Linked DNA regions of Coturnix japonica. The protein of the gene in region 1 binds, or shares a complex with, the protein of each later gene. Links are inferred from orthologs where the notes say so. Each region holds a gene or a part of one and is shown on either strand. Other genes may lie near its edges.

Region 1 (10,251 bases):
AAGCAGCACAGCAAATGAGGATATCATTACACCTGCCCAGGTTGGGCACTGAGCCACACAAGTCAGCAGTACAGGTACACCAATTTGCTGTGCTCATGATACACTCAGCTGCTGTGCCCATGCTCCAGCCCACATGGCAATGCTGCTGCTGTGGCTGACAGCACACACAAGTGAGAGCTGTGAGACGTGGGGCTCAGGCTGCCCACTGCCCTGCTGCAGCCACACACTCACTGCTCAGCTCAGGCTCAGCACAGCGCACACACCTGCATGCTGAACTTCTGCCATAGAAGTCAATAAGAGGCCCAAAGAGCTGACAATGCCACATGAAAATAACAGATGAGAACTTCTCCAGCAAGCACATGCAGCTTTAAGCCACTTCTTCCTGAAGTATTATGGTTCTATTTCACAGCATCCCCTCCTCCAGCCTGACACACAGGGAAACCCTGCACTGTGCCAGCCTGCTGCACCTCCATTGGGCCTGGGAGACTGTTCTCACTGTGCTTTCAGTACTCCAAAACACTCAGTCTTCAACTTAACCCAGCCTCTCCCTCACTACTACACATAACATTTTCCTTCCTAAACTCACACATTAGCCAAGTTCTTCCTATTTGACTGTATGTTCTGGTAAAACTTATCCAGTTCCCTACAAAGTCCCCAAACCCACATCCCCGGAGCTGCTCGTGAGCTCTTCCCTTCAGTGCAAGCATCAGAGAAACAGGAGGGGACAGGCCACAATGAGCTGTGTGGCTTTCACTGGCTTTTTTTGGTTTTGTTGTTTCATATAAAGCTTCTGGCTTATGCAGTTCTTTTACCCTGGCTCAGCCTTAGCTCAGACAGAGCTGTAGGACACATTTTAGTTCCCCGGATCTTTTTGTGTCCTTACAGCTATGACACAGTGCTGTCAGCATTCACTGCTGTCCTTGGAGGGGAGGGAACAACTCAGAATCCCCCTAGGCCCCAAACCACGTACCCATCTACACCTTCTACCTTTAGTGCTAGGAGTACCACATCCAGGTAAATTCAATCATGGTTTTAAAGGGACATATTACATCCAGCAACATCATCCAGGTCCTGCACAACTTTAGGTTCATTTTCTGTGCTATCGGCTCTTTGGAGCACCACTGCCCGCTGACAACGGCAGCAGAGGACACAAGACAGGCACCCAAGTCTGACAGCACAAAGCAACTCAGGCAGCACCAAACACGTGCTTTCCAGTGCTGCTTCCCATGCCACAAAGCTGAGAGTGCCAGCACAAAGCAAAGAGGAGTATGAGTAACACAGCATCTACATTATCAACAGAACTGGAGGTCTGAACACTTCTGTAAGGAACAGCATTAAAGATATGCCAGAATAAGATGTCCACGCGTTGAACGCAGCCAGTATTTCTGCATCAATGAATGCTCACAAATACTGTGCACGGTCTGTAAGATAAATGTCCTGATGTGAAATCCATGCAGTGGTGGGTTATGGCTGTTACTCGGTTACCACCTCACACACACTGCGTGAACTGAGGAAATGTTGTTTCTCAATAAAAATGAAAACAACTGAAAAGAAACACCTCAAACATTGATCTAAAGCTTTAGGCAGCTCTAAAGCTTTAGGCAGCTCAGTAGCGAGACTTACATGATGTCACATGTTTACATAAACTGCCCAACAAGCTAGGAACTACCAGGCAGTTTTTCCAGGCAGCTCATCAGTAGAACTGTGCGCTCAGAGGCAATGGACCCTCAAGTGACATCCTTGCACTGGAAACAGGAATTCTGTCTGCTCCCAGTGGTGTATGTGAGCAAGTCAGGCCCTGTCCTTTTGAAAACGGGACTGCTCAACAACATGGGGGCAGCCAACAGACTCAACATTTAAAGTGATCGACCTAAAAAAGAAATAAATAAGGGAAGGTATTCAAGGGAGAGTGGCTAAGCCTTAATTACTTGTAACATTTACACGGAAACAAGTACAGAGGGGAGAAAGGATACTTTGAACACCAGCATAAGGCTTGCAATACAACTACCATGTATTCCTTTACCCAGTAACTGCTAGGAAGAACCAACACACATTCCAGAACCAGTACTGGAAATGTGTAATCTGAGATAGATTAGCAACAGCCTCGTTTTCTGGGTTACAGAGCTCTCTGCCCACCAGTGCCATGCAGTGCTCTAGGACATGGGGCAGAAGCCCACCAGCACCTGTTGGCAAGGAACACACAGCAGCAGCTCAGCACACAGCTGGGCAGTAACACGGAGCTCCACCATGCCCCACTTCAGCATCTCATAAATGCACGCCACAAACCTGACAGCCCAGCACACACCAACGTATCTCAGCACTTTTTGACACTAAAAGAAAAAATAAGTCTACACTGTGCAACCAACTTCAAGCATGAAAGCGATTCAACTGAGATTCTCCTACTGCAACTGTCACCACCTCCAACACTTGGGTCCACTTATTACCTTGTGGCTCCTGATGAAGCTCAGCCCCTTTTTCTACTCCATCTCTTCAACGCAGAGAAAAGGTTTATAGATTTACAAGAAAGAAGAGCTTCTAAAAGTGATCCTCAACTACCAAGTAAATAAATGACAAGCTGGAAGGTAAACAGAGTCCAAAAACTAACTTTAAAAAGTTGGATTTAGTATGCTTGGAACGTGCTACTTGTAAGTCTTGTGAAGGACATTGTGGAGGCTCCAGCACAAAGAGTGACCATAGAACTCAGAACAGCACAATTCTGCAACGTCACTTTACAAACTACAGTAACCCCAGCAGTAAAGGTAACAGAGTGGCTGGCAAGAAAATAGGGAGCCTGGGGCTGTAAGAGTTTGTTTTCCAAAGCAACCAACAACTTTGAATATTTGTTCTGAAGCTTCTTACAGAAGAATGGTTTTTGGGAGGCGGGAGGTCAGCACCTCCCAGTGGGAGGCAGCAGAAGGACCCTCAGGCACAAGCTGGGCACACCAGCAGTGACCCACTCACATCAATATTGATTTCTAAACCAAGCCCTTCCCACTCCTCCTGTCACCACACACCTTGGCCAGCTGAACCCTGGGGCGAGGCCTGATGCTTTCTAAGCATGAAGGATTGGAAAGGGCACTACAGCTGCTCACACTGCACTGCAAATCCACGCTTAACAAACACATGTCAGTGTGCTGCTGCTGGGGAGGACGGAGAAACGGGTCACAGCCAAAGGATGGACTCTGAGAGCGTGAACTTTAAAAATAAAAACTGAATCACAGAAAGCATCAATGGATTTTAACCAGGGATTCACCCATACCAAAAGTCATCCACATGTTAAATAAAGGGGTGAGGAGGGGCTTTGGACAGCTTTCGGACAGAAGATCCGTGTTTGCCTGCTGTCGATCTCTGCGGCCTCAACAACACCAAGGGATGAGACCTAGCTAACAGAAAAAACAATATGGACAAAATCCTCAGATCAGCACTTGCATTCCACAGCCAGAGATCCACAAAAACCATTAATAAACCCACACCAAAATCCATAATGCTCTATACACACACAGGTTTGTTGCTGAGGACGGGCACCAGCATATGAACGTGTCTTATCTGTCACCTCTCTGGAAAACACACTGCCCCATATAAACGCTCTCTTTTGCCACCAGCAGATCTTTAGGTCCCAGCTCCTGCTCTGTGCCCGTTCCGCACGTCGTACAGAGCGTGCCCGGGGCACAGCCCGCTGCCCTCCCGCCCGCAGCTCCGTGCTACATCCTCGCAGCGTGCCGAGCTGCACCGGCAGCCGAGCGAAGAGCGAAACGGAGGACACACACAGCCGGAACGCAAAGGCTGCGGGCGGGCACGGCCACACCGAGAGCTGTGCGGCGGTGGGAGATCCGAGCACTCCACGAGCGATCCGTGTGTAGCACGCACCACGTGCACACACGCACTGACAGCGAGACGAGCGGATCCCGTCCCCGCACCTAGGCGTGCCCGCTCCATTAACATGCACACAGACACCTCCCGGCCACTCGCGGAACGCGCCGCTTCGGCCTCGAGCGAACGCCTCCTTCCTCCCCAGTACCAGCACCTGCACTGGAGCCGCCCCTCCGGGCCTGCTGTGCAGCACGGGCCTCGTCCCCGCACGGCGGCCCGGCCCGGCCCTGCTCGGCCGCCCCGCACCGCCCCGCACCGCCCCCCGGGCCTGTGCCGCGCCCCGCCGCCCGCCCCAGGTGCCGCGGCCCGGCGCCCCCCCGGCCTCCTCCCCCCGAGGCCCCGGGCCGGGTGCAGGCCCCGCTTCCCCGGCGCTCACCCCACGACTCCCTGGCTGTAGTTCCTCTTCTTCCATGGGGTGCCGGTGTAGTGCGACTCGGCCAGGCCAGACTGGGCCCTGGCGGCCGGCCCGTCGCCCAGGGCGGGGGCCCGGCCCTGCCCGGGCGGCCCCAGCAGGAGGCTGTAGTTGAGCCCGAAGGTGCTGGCCTTGTTGTCGCGCTTCCTCTTGTTGCTGGCGGCCGCGGCGGCGGCGGCGGCGGCTGCGGGCGGCACCCCCCGAGCGGGCCGGGCCCAGGCGGCGGCCCCCGGGGGTGGCGAGGCCTGTCGGTGTCCGCGGTTGTGCTGGTTGTTGGCGCTCTCGAGCGGCAGGAAGTCGGGCTGGGGGTCGGCGCGGGGGGCGCGGTACATGCCGGGCGGGGAGGCCGGGCCGGCCCCGGCGGGGGCGCTCTGCTGCTGCTGCTCCTGCTGCTGCTGCTGCTCCTGCTGCTGCTGCTGGAAGTAGAGGTTGCGGACCCCCTGCGTGGTCTCCCAGATCTGCATCCACAGGCGGTTCGAGGGGCCGAGCTGCTCTGGCTGGAACCAGGCGATCCGGGGATCCATCAAACGGGGGACCCACCCCGGCCGCCTCCGCTCCCCGCGCCGGCCGCCGCCGCCGAGACCCTGTCAGCGGGTCCCAGCGTTAATGGCGGCTCCTATGGAAGGGCAGCTCCGCGCCTGCCTGCTCGCCGCCGTCGCTCCACAGCCCCCGCCCCTCCTGGCGAGCGCGGCGAGGCGGGGCCCGGCCGGGCCGGCGGCACACGGGCCGCGCGCAATAAAGGGGGGCGGCGGCGGCCGGGCCGGAGCTGTCGGAGCTGTCAGCGCTGGAGCTCCGCTCCGCTCCCGTCTCTCCGCCGCTCCCGGGTCTCTCCGAAGCGAGGCGGCCGCTGCTGCTCCGGGGCTCGGTCCCCGCGCTGAGGGGCGCCGGCTCCCGGCGGGCAGCAGGTGCGCGGGGCCGCCCCGGGGCAGCGGCCGCTTCGGTTCCCTCCCGCGAGGTGCGGGGTCGGTAACTGCCGCCCCGTCCCCTGCTCAGCCGTGCGCTGCCCTGCAGCTGGGTGAGCTGCTGGGGGGACCCGCCTGCGGCACCGAGGGACGGAAACGGAGCGCCCGGCTGCCATTGCTTGTACGGACAGATGGCAAAACACAGTGCACACCGTGCAGCAAACGGCAAAATGGAGTGGTACGGCTTCTAGTCAGGCTGTTTTATTTCTGTAGTGCTTTCATACTACAGCCTTAAAACGTATTCCGTATGATAACAGCTACAAAGGTTCCAGCGCTGGGTGGGACAGGATTCCTCTTCAGGCAGCAGGAGCTAATACAGTGTTTGGAACTAGAAAGGTGTGCTTCGGTTCCAAGTATTCCATGAGGTGGAAAGTTTACAACGTGTCCCAGCAGCGTTTGGTGCTGACAGCCACAGACCGACAGTGCAGCTTCACCCTGTGTCCCACATGGCCAGGAGCAGGGCTGGGGGGACACTGAGCCCTCTGCTTCTGAGGTTCTGCCTTTGTCCGACTGATCTGCACAGCCCGAGAGACTCCAACCCCAGTGAGAATCTCAGGGGCCGGACACAGCTGTTGAGGTGACAGATTTGATTAATTGCTTTGAAAATCACCTGCAGTTACCACCAACACCAAGTGGACAGTGGTGGGACTTGAGCACAGCTCAGGAACAAAGATATAAATCAGAAGGCTTCAGTTCATAAACTTCGTACTGAAACAGCACAGGAAAGGGGGAGCAACAGTAATAAAAGCTCACGTTACCATTAAGGAGATAACAGTCACAAAATATGTGGCCATGGAAAGCAGTCTGATACCACAAGCACATGAGATCAGGGTACGAGCCTGGAAAGAGAGGCAAAAAGTTGCCATGCTTGAATACAGCTGACATGACTTTTTTAGTCACGACTTTGAACTTTAACTTCTCCTTACTAAAGAGGCAATTCCTCAGAAAAAGGCTGTTTAGAAACACCACAGAGTTTTTAGCTGTCAGCCATTCCACAGTTAGATTCTTGAAGTGCCCTTTACTCTCCATCAGCAGCAGGGGGTGCGAAAAGGCCAACACCATTTCCCTTGAAGGTAAAAAAAAATACAAACCAAAAACAGCAATCACACCAGAAGGGGAAGGAAACAATTCCAGATGAGATTTTTGTTACAAGAAAAGGAGCACAAAGCCCAGAGGACATTTATCGAGTCCCAACACAGCTTCAGAAGTGGGACAGGCATTGACATGACCACTCAGGGTCTCTCCCAACGCTGGGGCTGCACCAGGACCCTCCTGTGTGCCAACAGCCATGCAGCAGCCACAACGCTTCCAACAGCACAGATCGTTGCAGCAATACCTTATTTCAGCCCCCCTGCGTTTTGATTTAAGTCCTTAATACAACAGCGAGGACGCTGGGATTTGAAAGAAAAAAGACAAACGTTTATCATGTTCTTTGTGTACAAGTCTCAAGCTGTGTTTATGTGGTCACTGAATTACGTCTGACGGAACGTTATGTCTGTGCCTCTCACAGAAACAAGGAACTTAGGAAAAAAATACTGAAACAAATGAAGTAAGAGTGATTTAAATACGTGCTGTTCTTCCGGGAAGGTACAGAAGTTAAACAGTCTGAACTGACTTGGAGAACAGACAGGAACTCCGCAGCACTCAGTGAGAGCTCCACCACACAGAGCACTTCAGCCCTTGTGGGAAACTTCAGATTCTTTCCTCTGCTGCCACTGTCCGAGTTCTCAGTTTTTGCCAATTATCTGAGTGTTACGTATCGTAAGAGCACATCCAAAGAGACTATATTTAGACTGCCTGCTCAATTCATCTGTGCCAGCAAAGAACCATTAGATTTCTTTCAATTACAATTACTATCGCCTGAATTTGAATTTGCAACAGTAAATGTAAGACTCCAAGACTAGGCAGCTCTTTCCAGTCCTCTGGGAATCCTTTTACTGAAAATTACTGATTAAGGAAACAGAACTGAAGTTTATAAGCACTTTTGGTTGGTTGGTCAATGTTACCATGCCACAAGATACGCATTTCATTTATAATACTTAAACTACAGACTGATTTTAATTTGTTCTCAGATTACAGGTCTCATTTTGTAACTTTACTGTGCTCTGATTTTTTTTTCCTTCCACATTCAAAATACACACATAGAACCAAGCCAAGTAGTACCGGTTACGAGTATTCTTCATCTACAGAGAACATCCTTACAACACTGCACAAAAAATACCCTCAACATACAGCGCAAACCTTGAGTAGTTAATAGTTAACCACAAAGTTACAGACATCTTCTGAATGCTCTGTCACAACAAATACTTAATGAAATCTTGCCACTTGTTTCTCTTCATAAAGAGTAAAAACAAGCCAGGTAGCAATGATAATTCCTTATCTATGCAGCTGTGGAGTCAATGTTTTGCAGGCTGCAGAGGCCAAAGCAGCAGCCACCACCACCCGTCCCACTGCTTCTGAGCAGGAAGAGGCCAGCAGCCCCTCTTCCTTTACTGTACTTCACACCTCAGACTAGCAGTTTTTACACTGCAGCATAGACAGATGCTTTAGGGACAAGGATAAGCAAACAAATTCATTCTAAGATACCTGCTTTGATAACAGTCTTATCTGTGTGACTACATGAACTGATGAAGATCACATATGTCTTTAGCACCTGCTTAATTAGGCTGCCCACTGGCTAATCAGGGCAGTACTTCCCACCCTCAAAGCATCTCCAAGATCTGCCTTTGTCTTTATAAGCTGTCAAGGATCTCTTTGTCTCGCCTACTCTAAAACTACTCAAATAAATCAGTGCCAGAAGAGCCCATTAAACATTTAGCTTGAGCCACATCATCTTCTCTTCCACTGCCTTAATTTTCCTCAATTGTGTTAGAACAACTTTTATAGCCCAAACCTTACAGCTGAGCCTATAAATCTCTTCTGTTTTTAGGCCATGATCTGACACTTCTTTAAATCACAGACAATTTGCCTTTTCATTGTCTTCCATAGTTGTCATATTATCTTCTATCTCACCCCTTACAAGAACACGCTCTCTATGTTAACATAAAAAAAAATTACTCTTTCATATTCACTCACAAGCAATTCATTAGACACCAAGAGCAAGTTACACTATGTTAGGAGTTAAGTGGGTAATACAGTGAGATTTTCCTCATTCAACAGAGAAATGAAAGTGTGCACATCAAAATATGCAGGAAGATATTGGCTCCATTTTGCTACGGACCACAGATGAGGGCAATAGGCTGCTCACAACCATACAACACCAGCTGCCAAGAAATCACTTACAGAAGTTTCCTTAAAATCTGCAGTGAGCCAAGAAAACAACAACAAAATCCTCCTAAGAGCTACAACTTCCCCCTAAACCAATGGGAACCTACCTGAGAAGCAGCAGACAGAAAAGCCAGCCTGCCCCTTTTTTCATACCCTCAGCCCAACAGCCCCACTGAAGTGCTTCAATCTGCTCAGGTGAAACAAAGCTGAACAAGGGACTATTTCAGCTTTCATACATGAGTTTTAGTACAAACTCGCATGAAATTGTCTTTGTATGTCCTCATTACCTGCATAACAAAGTATACCAAAAGACAGAAGCAAATACTGCAAGCATTAAAACACGTCTGCAAATGATACAGTCTATACTGTGAACCTACCTTACAATAAAATAAAGGAAGATTTTCCAAGGTATCTAACTTGTTAGTGCACAGCAACCAACCAAAAGAAAATAATTGCTACTTCTGGAATAGCTTCAGATGTAAATGACAGTCTTTGCTTTCATTAGCAGTAAAAAAATGGAGTATGTCAAATTATAATAAGAAATAGGCTTTCTAGCAGAGACTTTTATCTGCAACTTTCAGATTTGTATTTTAAGAGAAAACCTTTTGTTTTCTTGTTAGTAACAACCCCTGCTCCACACACACACAATTGTTCTAACAGTCTCCAGGAAGCAGGTCCGACTGCCCTACTTGATGCAAGATGTGAAGTCCTATACTTGGAACAGAGCAGTACCAAAAATCAAGCAGGCTCCTCACTGAATGAGAGCAACTCTGCAAAGAACCTCAGGGTCACAGCGGGCAAGTTGAGAAGTCAGCAGTGCAGCCTCGCAGTGAATGAAGGCGAATGAATACTGCACAGCATTGACAGAAACAAGGCCAGCAAGTGCAGCAAATGACACTTCCCTCTCTTCAGTACTCATGAAATCACATTGGGAGTACTGTGCCCAGCTTTGGTGCCCAGCACAGGATGCACTGAGGCAGGTGACGCTGAAGGCCACCAAAGCAGCTGGAGACTGAAGGAGCCAGGTCTGTTCAGCCTGGAGAAAAGGGCAATACAATTGCTGTTTTCAGCTACAAAATGGGGAGTGTAAGGAAAGTTGGAGCCAGACACTTCTTGGTGGCATCCAAAGGAAGCCCAGTTTGCAGTATGAGGAGTTCCTATTAGGTAAGAGGCAGAGGTGGGGGAGTGTTCTCAATAAAGGCAGTCAAGCAAATGAAAGGTTTCCCCCAGAGCTGTGAGACTCCCACTCCTGGAGATGCTCAAAGCCCAGCATGACCTATCAGACCCCAAATGAAGCCTTGCCTTGAGCAGGGGGATGGACTTGGGGACCCCCAGAGAGCCTTTCAATCGTGATCACCCAGCATTTCATTTTCTAAATGAAAACATGGAAGTTCTTCTAAAATGCTTCAAACTAACATTAATGCCTTTTCTTAGGTTTAAGTTATAGTTATCCTCAGCACACAGCACATGTTACTAACATTGGGATTAAAATCCGCACTGTGCAGCCTTATCCCCTAATCCACCCAGCTTCTAACCCTGCCAACCCCCAGGACAAGGTGTCCAACAGCTCCAATTCCTCAGGACTTCTCCTGGACTTCTGAGGGCCAGGCCAACTGCCCTAGATACTCCCCAGTTGTCCACATACCCTCACTCATTTCATTAGCAGGCAACACATCACACATTCAATTGAACTTCTGAAAAGGAACAGCAACAACGGGACTTTCAGGCACTTTCTCACTC
Region 2 (10,618 bases), on another chromosome or scaffold:
CAATGATTTGCTTTGGCAGACCTGCGGTGTCTGAAGGGAAACCCCTCAACCCAGGTTGAGTCACCGTCCTTGGATGCATTTAAGAGCCGTTTGGATGTGGTGCAGGGATATGATTCAGCAGAGGGTTGTTAGAGTTAGGGTACTATGGTTAGGCTGCGGTTGGACTTGATGATCTTGAGGTCTTTTCCAACCCGAGTAATTCCACGACTCTATGATTCTATGACCCCTGCAGTAGGGGGCAGCAGAAATGCTGTTTTCCAAAGGATGGATGCTCAGGGACAACAGAAGACAGCAACTTTCTTGCTGTCTTGGTCCGTCTGTCCTTACTCCAAGTGCGTTGGCTCTTTACAGGACAAGGGACTTTTCTTCACCTGAAAACGCTGAGGATTCTTATTCGCCTGGACTTGGAGATAGGTGGTAAAAACTGGGGTAATTTGGGAAAGGAAATGTTTTCTCTGAGGGACCTTCACGGGGGTTTTGGAGCCTGAGCATCGCTCTGCAGCTCCGGAGAAGGGGAGCGGACCGTGTGCGGCCCCGTCGGCGCTCAGCATCCCTCAGTGCCCGCTTTGCTTCATCACCGCCCTGCAGACAAACCACACTCTGCTCTCCCCCAGCCCTTATTCCCCCCATTTCCTCCGCTCCCGTTCCCTTCTCTGCAGCCCAAGCTGTAAGTAACAAGCCGTGAGGCGCCGCGGAGCTGGCTCCATGGAGCTCCGTAATTAACACTCCCTCCCTTCTCCCGCTGTTCTGTTGAAGCTGCAAAGCGAAGCACCGGGAGGAGGAGGAGCGGGCCAGGTAGTGGGTGGGAATTTAATTAACTTCGGAGCATGAAGGTGCGGACCGGCCGCAGCTCGGTTAATATGCGGGATGCACAGCCGGGTCCGGTCTGTTTCCCCGGTGGGACTCAGCAGGGGGGACCACTCAGCTCCTGTAGGTCTGCCGACCTTCCTATTTACCCCCCTTTTCAATACAAAGTCTTCTGAAAGTGATGTTCCTTTAGGGTAGGGTATTTCAGCCCACAACAAACTGGAGGTGACAACAGGAGACAGATGCCACCTCGGTTATTTGTTAGTGGCTCATTCACTTTCCATCCTGGTCCCCTCCCTGGTGTTCCCTGGACAAACCCAGCTCCTCTGCAGCCCTCAGCCCTTCGAGGGGCCCTTTGCCCAGCCAGGTGCTGCTGGAGCATCTCTGCCTTCACACCTTCACACCTTGACCTCCTCATCCCCTAAACTGTGTGTATTTTGCCAGAGCAGGACCAACAAAGATGGAACTCTCAGCCTGCCCACCACGTAAAAGCAATGATGTGAAGTGAACCTATAGGCAAGAGAAAGCAGCACCCACGCATGGACGCCCTAATAACAAGTAGCACTGCTGCGTATAATTCTGGATTTCTCCATACTGTTTCCTACAGCACTTGAAACCATACATCAGGAAGAAGAGGAGTCCTGCAGGCTTCCTTGTGGCTGCAGGGAGAGCAGAGGCTGACAGCACCAACAAGCAGCGAGGCCTGCACAAAGCCTACCAACAGAGCTGCACATTCTTGGGTGCCACCTACTGGCATTTGGACTGAATAATGCCAGTTTACACGTGGGAAATCTCCTTGTTTTTACACTTTTAAAACGCCCAAAGCCTGTGGTGTAATAACAACTGAATTTCTGCAAGTCTGGAAGACTCGGAGACCTGAAGTGTCTCCAAGCAGTGGGAGATGCTGCAAATTTCCCTCTGCAGCATCTCTGAATGTTTCCATCTACTTTTAGAATCTTGGAATGCTGTGGGTGCTGGGAGTGGAGGGAAAGGGGATGTTCTGCCCATGGGAAGCAAAACCCATCAGAACATGGAGCACAGAGGGCTCACAGCATCAGCAACCAGGTGTAATGGGGCTGCCAGCTCCCTTCTTCTACTGGCCGTGAGTGTTGGAGCCTGAATCTCACTTGTGCACCTATTGCACAAGTCAGTGCATACCAAATGGGAGGTGATCAAAGGTTGTGAAAGGTTTGGACTGAGCCCATATGCAAGGCAGTTCATCATTTATGAGGCAGAACTCAGTTTGCTTAAGGAGCATGTGTGAAATTGCCACTGAGCGAGCATCAGACATAAACCCCTAATTTAAGGCAGGCAACCAACCCAATCTGCTGTGCAGCAGCAACATAAGCCTGTACACATCTGTACAATGGACCACTCTGGTCATACCAACAGCAATGTTTTGCAATTGTTTTACAACAGTTAATTTCATATACATTTGAGAGGGTTTTTGTAACAAGCAGAGGCAGATAAAAATCAGCATTCTTCTGAAAGTGCTAATGTTACTAGGCTCAAAATACAGGCTGAAATTACCTGCCAATAATGTTGAAAACGCAGTACAAGTATTAGGAAAGTCCCTGTATAAAGGCTTACAAAAATGGAAAGTGAAAGCTCTGGGCTGTCCCTTGGGTGTCTTGCTCTTCCCAACCTTTATAAGTATATGAATTAGAAATCAAAACACAATGAGAACAGCCAGAATGTCCAGCTTTCCAGCACAGCCCAGAAAGGTACCAGGACGTCACTGAATTTTCCCTAAATAATGCTGATTTGGTTTCTGAAATATGCTCTTGTACAGAGGGAGCTTTTACCTCACGCTGAAGTTTAAGCTCCCTTACATATTTATCTGCAATAAGATGCATTGAAAAACCTTTAACCGCAGTTCATCAGAACAGTAGACAAAACCACCTGGCAAAGAATTTCAGCCCACAGAATGTCTACTTTTGGCAAAGTTCTCATATTCAGAAGTAGTAATTGATGAGGAAATTGAACATTCTGGTTTCAGGCAATCTCTCATACAATTGCATAGGAGCTACATACAAGCTGCATATGGGCTGAATAGGAGCTACATACGGGCTGCATAGGGGCTGCATAGGAGCTGCATAGGGGCTGCATAGGAGCTGTATAGGAGCTGCATATGGGCTGCATAGGAGCTGCATAGGGGCTGCATATGAGCTGTATAGGAGCTGCATAGGGGCTACATAGGAGCTGCATAGGGGCTGCATATGAGCTGTATAGGAGCTGCATATGGGCTGCATAGGGGCTGCATATGAGCTGTATAGGGGCTGCATACGGGTTGCATAGGAGCTGTATAGGGGCTGCATATGAGCTGTATAGGAGCTGCTTATGGGCTGCATAGGAGCTGCATAGGGGCTGCATAGGAGCTGCATAGGGGCTGCATGAGCTGCATACGATCTGCATAGGGGCTGCATAGGAACTGCATACCGGCTGCATATGAGCTGCATAGGGGCTACATACGAGCTACATAGGAGCTGCATAAGGGCTGCATAGGAGCTGTATAGGAGCTGCATAAGACCTGCATAGGGGCTGCATAGGAGCTACACACGAGCTACATGGGGGCTGCATAGGAGCTGCATAGGGGCTGCATAGGAGCTGCATAGGAGCCGCATATGAGCTGCATAGGGGCTGCATATGAGCTGTATAGGAGCTGCATAGGGGCTGCATATGAGCTGTATAGGAGCTGCATATGAGCTGTATAGGAACTGCATAGGGGCTGCATATGAGCTGTATAGGGGCTACATATGAGCTGCATAGAAGCTGCATAGGGGCTGCATAGGGGCTACATAGGAGCTGCATAGGAGCTGTATAGGAGCTGCATACGAGCTGCATAGGGGCTGCATAGGGGCTGCATAGGAGCTGCATATGGGCTGCATATGGGCTGCATATGGGCTGCATATGGGCTGCATATGGGCTGTATATGGGCTGCATATGAGCTGTATAGGAGCGGCTTACGGGCTGCATATGAGCTGTATAGGAGCGGCTTACGGGCTGCATATGAGCTGTATAGGAGCTGCATAGGAACTGCATACCGGCTGCATATGAGCTGCATAGGGGCTACATACGATCTGCATAGGGGCTGCATGAGCTGCATACGATCTGCATAGGAACTGCATAGGGGCTACATAGGAGCTGTATATGGGCTGCATAGGAGCACAACACACCCCTTCCCACCCCTCACCCCCGTCCCCAGCCGCCATCCCACCCTTATCTCCCAGCCGGGGCGGAGCCGGACACACGTGCTGCCGGTGGGCGGCCCGATTCCGTCACTTCCTTCTCGTCGCGTCCCGGTTCGGCCCGCAGTGAGTACGTGAGCGGCGCCGCTTCCTTCCCCCTATGCTGCCTTCTCCCTCATCCCGGCCCAACGCTGTTCCGTCCTGGTCCCGGTCCCGGTTCTGGTCCCGGTTCTGGTGCCGTTTCCTGCCGGTCCGAGCGCCCCGGGCCCGGCTCGTTCTCAGGGTCCCACCTTCCTCCCCGGTGCTCCGGCCCAGGCGCGGTCCTGACACTGAGTTCATATAATAACTGTGTTTAAATAATCGCTGTGGTGGTTATTTGGTGTTTTCATGCCTTCATAAGGCTCGCAAGAACACAGATGTGATCTTCATTTGGGTGTTTGCTACTTAAAAGTTGATTATTTTGATGGTTTATGTCAATGAAAAAGGAGCTGTGATGCTTCTGATGGAGGGCCCAGAAACAGGCCTAGCAGGTGAAGAATTTCACTTTATTATGCTTTTAGATTTAAATCCTTTATCGATTTTGGTTTTCCAGACCTTAACAGTCTGGAGTATGGGGTCAGTTTGGGTATTACAAATACATCTAAATAGGAAACTGGAAAAGAAAGCTGCTCTGCATAAAACTATACAGACTGTTGATATCTGCTGCCATGCTGAACCTCTGTTCTGGTAGGGAACTGTGATTTTAGAGAGGTTTTGGAACTGTGATTTTAGCCAGGTTTTGTATTTTCATCAAAATGTCCTTTTTTTCCCCATTTTTTTGTTGTCCCAGTCTGTATCAGAGATACTGGCTGTAAGCTTTTCTTTTGCCTTTACTCCTTAAGACACACAAGGATATATTTGTTGCTGTATTTTCAATACAGCCTTTGTCATAAATAGTTTGTGTTACTGCACAGGCCAAGCAGAAAGCAAGGGAAATATGGAGAATTCATTGGTGATTTGTGATGGGAACACTGCACTCACACTATAGGGTGAAATAAGAGATATATATATTGTTAAATTGATTTATTTGTTTTCAAAGTTCTATCAGTATGTGAAGTTAAGCACCAGGTGAATTCTCCTTCTGTCTCTTTGCCTGTGAGTCACCATTAACATCTCATTTCTGACTACAGCTGTTTGTTATTTTACCAAGTAAGGATGTTTTTATTTTAATGAACTCAACTAAAGTGCTGGCAAGCAATCTTTGTAAATCTCCTGAGAAAATGCCCTCCTTTACCCCTCAGCAATTTCTAGGCATAGCCACCTGGAGTTTTGTTCAAGGGCAGTTAAAAGAAACTCGGATTACTGTGCTTTGGGTTTAGGTTTGTTTTATTTTATTTTTTTTTTACATTATTAGCCCTTTACTCGAAGTTCTTAAGGCCTGACAAAGAGGTGCTCAGATGCTTTAGAGGAAGCCTGTGCTGTGTTGAGGTAGCAGCAGGATGTTCCAGCTGTAGCAAAAAGATTTAGACTGTTGTTCATCGTCTAGATGTTAGTAAGAGATTGCTGGTGCTGTGTCAGTCTGAAAAACTGCAAATCTTTCTGTTGAGCTTCTTTTCTCTTTCTTGAAGGCAGTGTTTTTGTCTGCTTTGGTTATTGCTCGAAGCCTATTTCTCATGCTGAGTAAAGTGGGAGGACACAGCTCTTGCCAGAATTCTACAGCAGTGAATGGTAGAAATTGGTATCTTTACATTATTTTGCTATGCTGATGTTTGGTGTTTCTCATTTCTCAGTGGCCTGATGTATACGCTGAGCAAGACAAAGAGCCTTTCATAGTTCCCTACCATCGAGGACCTGAAAGAAGTACAAGCCATTGACTCTCCTGACACTCAGTAGACTGTAAGTGTGGTGCAGTGCTGCCTTGTTTTTAATCCTATCTTCAGAATGCCATGTCTGTAAGTAAGCTACATGGGTATCCCTTAACACTTCAGATCCACTGGTCTTGATGCGTGTTTTCAGATATGGCTGGGGTTCTTACTTGGTGTGACTTCGTACAGTGGCTGACAGGAGCAAGAGTGAATTAAGTTATATTTTCTAGTATCACTAACATTTCTGCATGCTTCAGGTGGATTCTTTGGTTTCGTGCATTGCTGAAAGTCTTTTTTTTTAAAATTTATTTTCTATAATTGCTGACTGATGCAGTAAATCTGCCTTATTAGTGCCAGCTGTGCTTTTATCCTCATACTGTGGTTGGAAGTAGATGATCTTTAAGGTCTCTCCCAACCCAAGCCGTTCTATGATGGGCATTATGTTTTCCTGCTTTATGTTTTACATGTTTCTCACTTTTTCGTTTGTGTGTGGAGAAAAAAGTGTTTCCTCTGACTTTGATGTTTGACTTCTGATGTGGCAGGAATGCAGGTGAGGACTAATTTATCATGATGAAGGTGGAACTCTGATAGGATGCTCACAGAAAGCTGCCACAGAGGGAGCTTTTGGGTTCTGTGAATACCATAATCATACAAATCATTTACGTCTAGGGCTCCCAGATCTAAGTGTTAATACTTGTATGTCTATATAGGGTACTTTCACAACCATAAAACTGATGTCTGGCAGTTTTTCATGCCCAGAAAATCTTGCTGGCTTCCATAGAACTAACACAGAAATAGATAGTCTGTTCAGAGAAAGTATCTTCTTTCTTCCATGCATGATTTGTGCATGCAAATTAAATTATGCAGCCTGTGAGGTAGACAAAGTAGCTTCAGAATACCTTTGAATTTTCTGTCTGGCTCGTGGGTATTTAGTGAACTCCAGAAATAGCTTTGACTTAGTCAGGACCATAGAGTCAATGATGCTGGAAGGAAATTCTAGAGGTGATCTAATCCAGCTGCCTTGAGTCAAAGCAGTGTAACTGGGTGCAGTTTGTTCAGAGTCCCATTGCATCTTGAATTTAATTAATGGTTGAACCTCCACAGCCTTTTTTAGGCAATACAGCAAAAAAAGTTTTTTCTTATGTTCAAGTGAAATCTATATTTTATTTTTCATCTGGGTCCATTTTCTTTAGTCCTCCATCAGGTTCTTATGTACATCAGCAAGACACACTGAGCCTTCCACGCTGAACTGCCCCAGCTGTCACATTCTTCCCCATCTGACAGATGCTCCGGGCCCTTAATCGCTTTAGTCACCACACTCACTCTAATACACCCATATTATCCTGTTGTGGGGCAACCCAGAGCTGTATGTGGCACTGCAGGTGTAAAGTGAATGAGTGATAGAATATTCCCAGATGGAAGAGACCCACAGGGACCATCAAGTTCAACTCCAGGTTCCTCGCAGAACAGCCCAAAAATCTCCTGATCCACACGGAAACCTTGATTTTGAATCCAGGATGGAGGAAAGCTTTGGAATATGAGATCTTTCACAGCTGTCAGAAGCCAGAGCAGCTTCGGTTAAAGTAATAAGTAACATGAAACAAAATGCACCCTTGCTTAGCTTTTGCTGGCACTGTTGGCAATGTTAATTTTGTTGCTGTAAACTCTGTTGTCTGCTATATGTAGAGCTTAACAACTAACCTTAGAAATCTCAGGAAGACCGAAGGTGTTATTTGAAAGATATTTTGAGGCGTATGTTCATGAGTGTACTGATAGAATCTTTTGTGTTTCTTACAGACAATTTGGTTTCCAGAATGTTTTATGAATGTGAAGACTCTGAGGAGAGTGATGCATATGAAGATGAACTTTACCGTGAGGATTCATCCTCTGAGCCAAGTATTGACAGTGAGGTGGAATTTCATCTCTACAGCCAGGTCCACTATTCCCAAAATCTGTCTGAAATCGGCTCAGTGGAGGTGTCTGAAGAGGCAGAAGATGCCGTGGGATTCACAGATCAGAGTCCAGGTCTAACTGTGACACCACTTGAAGACAAGAATATTGTTGAACTGCCTGACCCTGATGGTCAGATTTCTGATGACCCTGAGATCATTGTTTTGTCTGATACGCCAGAGGAAGATAGCGTTTACAATAGCAAAGCACAAAAGTCAACAGGCTCTTTAGCTGAAGGTAAAACACGTATCCATGGATCTTCTAAAGCAAATCGTTCCAAAGCCACTGAATATGATGCTCCGTATCCTGCTGGATCAGACACAGAGTTTTCAGGGCAAGGTCCTGGTGGGAAACTTACCTCCATTAGCTCAGGACCTCTCAGCAACCAAGAGGTGATGGTAATAGATGATAGCTCAGACGATGACGAGGAGAGCGTGATTTCTGAAAGCGATGATGTTGAGAGCTGGATGCTTTTGGGATGCAGTGCAGATGACAAAGACAAAGATATAATGTTGAACCTTGAAGGCTGTGCAACTCCCACTGAGGAAGGTTAGTACTTTATTTAACACTTGTTTATTCTTCTGTATGTGAATTGATTTGTCTGCAGCAATACTGGTATTTTAAGAAGCTATCATATAGTGCACTGATGTTTTTAAGGGATTAACAGAAATCAAATGAGAGTGTGCAATGATGGACACAAATGATGGAAACAGCCCTTTGTAACGTTCTTATTTCAGTAGTGTCAAAAGTAGGCACTTTTTAAGGAGATATGAAAACAACATTTTTACTGGTAGAAGTCCAGAAGCCATGTCAGCATGATGCGTGCTGTAAACGTTCATTCAACATTCCTGCATGTTTCCTAGTTGTAAATGGCAGGTATAGTATGAGATCAAAAGAGAATACCGTGATTTATTACTGTAAATGTAGAAATATAATACTTTGAGGGTGAACGATTTAAAATCAGTGACATGAATTGCCCCAGACAGCCACATTATATCCAGAATGTATGTCACTTTTTTTTCCCCTATAAGTGATTCTAGTTATTCTAAACTGCAGTTGCTAATAATCATCTTGAAGTTGCTAAACGCCATTCATCTTCTTATATTTCTGTGTTCTGCTTTTCTGTTCAAGACTAGAGTGAATTGGTTTGTGGGATTTATTGCTGTAATTACCCATTGGGATGCAAATGCTTGGGGCCAAGTGTTGACTTCTGTGACAGCAGAGCTGTGTTTTGCACAGAGTATGGTTATTATGTTTTCTGGTATTTATTTATTTTTTTTTTTTCCTTAAAACTAATGGGCAAGCAAATGGCCTGGAGCTGCATTTGTTTTATTCAGTTTTCTCCATGTATTTCCTTGGTTTCTGTTCTAAAGCTGCTGATTCTAGCAGTAAAGGCCCTTCCCCCCCCCCCCAAGAAAAAAAAACAAAAACAGAAGATAGAAAAGTGCTTAAACAACATTTGGGACTGTAAGCAAATGTCATAGTTACATACATTTTAAGCAACAGAATGCAATTAATTTATCAGAATGACTATTCTTAAAGGGAGCGATTTGAAAATGAATATTTATGGCTTCATTCTTTGTACTATTCTAATGACGATGTGCTGAGGAAGGTTCCTAAAGATCCTTATGCAATCCGTCAGCAGAAGGATTGGCTGTTGTGTGGTATGTTTATTAACAAACATCATACTATGTTTCCTGATCACGTTCTTAGATATTGACAATAATCAAGCAGTATTCTAAGGAGATAATGGGAAAATTTCCCTGTGCTGTATAAACTTGTCATACTCTTCAAAACTGGAAATATTTAATGTAGATGTACACATTTTTTTCTGAGGTGCTTGAATTTGAAGTCTCAGTCACACAAGCAGCTCACAGATGTAACTGTTCTGTTATGATTTTTGTTCTTGCCCCTACTTGTAAGCTTCTTGAGACCACCCCCCCCCTCGTGCCATTCCTCACCCCAGCAATGAGTTGCAGTACCCTTATGCTTGGAGAGCTGAGGCATATAGAACTGATGGGGTTTGGTTTATACACGCATTTTTGATTCCATTTCAGCTTTTTGCATTCTGCATCTGTAGTACTTTGCAGAACACCTTAATGCTTACACGTTTCTTTCTAATTCTGAATGAGTTAATGATGTATTTACCCCCATCAGGAAACCCAGAACAGTGTGGCTCTGATCTTGAGCCCTGACACAGACCCTGATGTGTAAAATACAGTATTGAGCTGAACTGCAGTTCCATCATGCATTTTTCAGCGGTGTTTGAATTCCTAATAAGTGTTATTTGGGTAGCTCCAGGGCAGAGGGGCTTTGCACAGCCAATCTTTTCTCCAGTGCATGTTGTGATGACAGTGCAGGGACAGAGGTTCACAGCAACTGTGTGCTTTGTATGTATGTGTGTATATAGCTGAAAGCCAAAACAGTATCGAAATAGCTTTAGGAAATAGGACCCATCACTCTTCTTAACATAAAGTAGCAGTAATTTGTATATTGAGCTTTACACTGCCTTATCTCCCAAGTTCTAAAGGACTCTTTTGTTGAAACTAAAATGTAAAAGACTTAAATCTAAGGAAAGAAGGGAATTTTTAAACAAATATTTGTGTTAGCAAATTGTCCTCTCAAAGATCATAGAATCACCCAGGTTGGGAAAGACCTCGAAGATCATCAAGTCCAACCATAGTATATTCTTTGCTTATTGATTTGAATTATTCTGAGATTTGTGCACAGCTCTGTTCTGAGTTCCTCAAGAAGATCAGATCTTCAGCTGACTGTGTGATGTACAAATCACTGTTTGAGACTGCTGTGCCAGTGCAGACTGGAACATGA

Evidence for each region.
Region 2: TENT4B (region 1) and ZCCHC7 share a complex: the UniProt entries of both Homo sapiens proteins name them as parts of the nucleolar TRAMP-like complex. The link is inferred for Coturnix japonica from reciprocal best matches to the Homo sapiens genes TENT4B and ZCCHC7.

The regions. Positions count from the first base shown.
Region 1 is NC_029526.1:5,539,317-5,549,567, forward strand, and holds the start of TENT4B (terminal nucleotidyltransferase 4B), read right to left. Parts: upstream 4,962-10,251; 5' UTR 4,807-4,961; coding exon 4,247-4,806; intron 1-4,246. UniProt on the Homo sapiens protein: Terminal nucleotidyltransferase that catalyzes preferentially the transfer of ATP and GTP on RNA 3' poly(A) tail creating a heterogeneous 3' poly(A) tail leading to mRNAs stabilization by protecting mRNAs from active deadenylation.
Region 2 is NC_029547.1:66,859,577-66,870,194, reverse strand, and holds the start of ZCCHC7 (zinc finger CCHC domain-containing protein 7), read left to right. Parts: upstream 1-4,028; 5' UTR 4,029-4,125; intron 4,126-4,155; exon of another isoform or gene 4,156-4,525; intron 4,526-5,764; 5' UTR 5,765-5,870; intron 5,871-7,636; 5' UTR 7,637-7,653; coding exon 7,654-8,338; intron 8,339-10,618.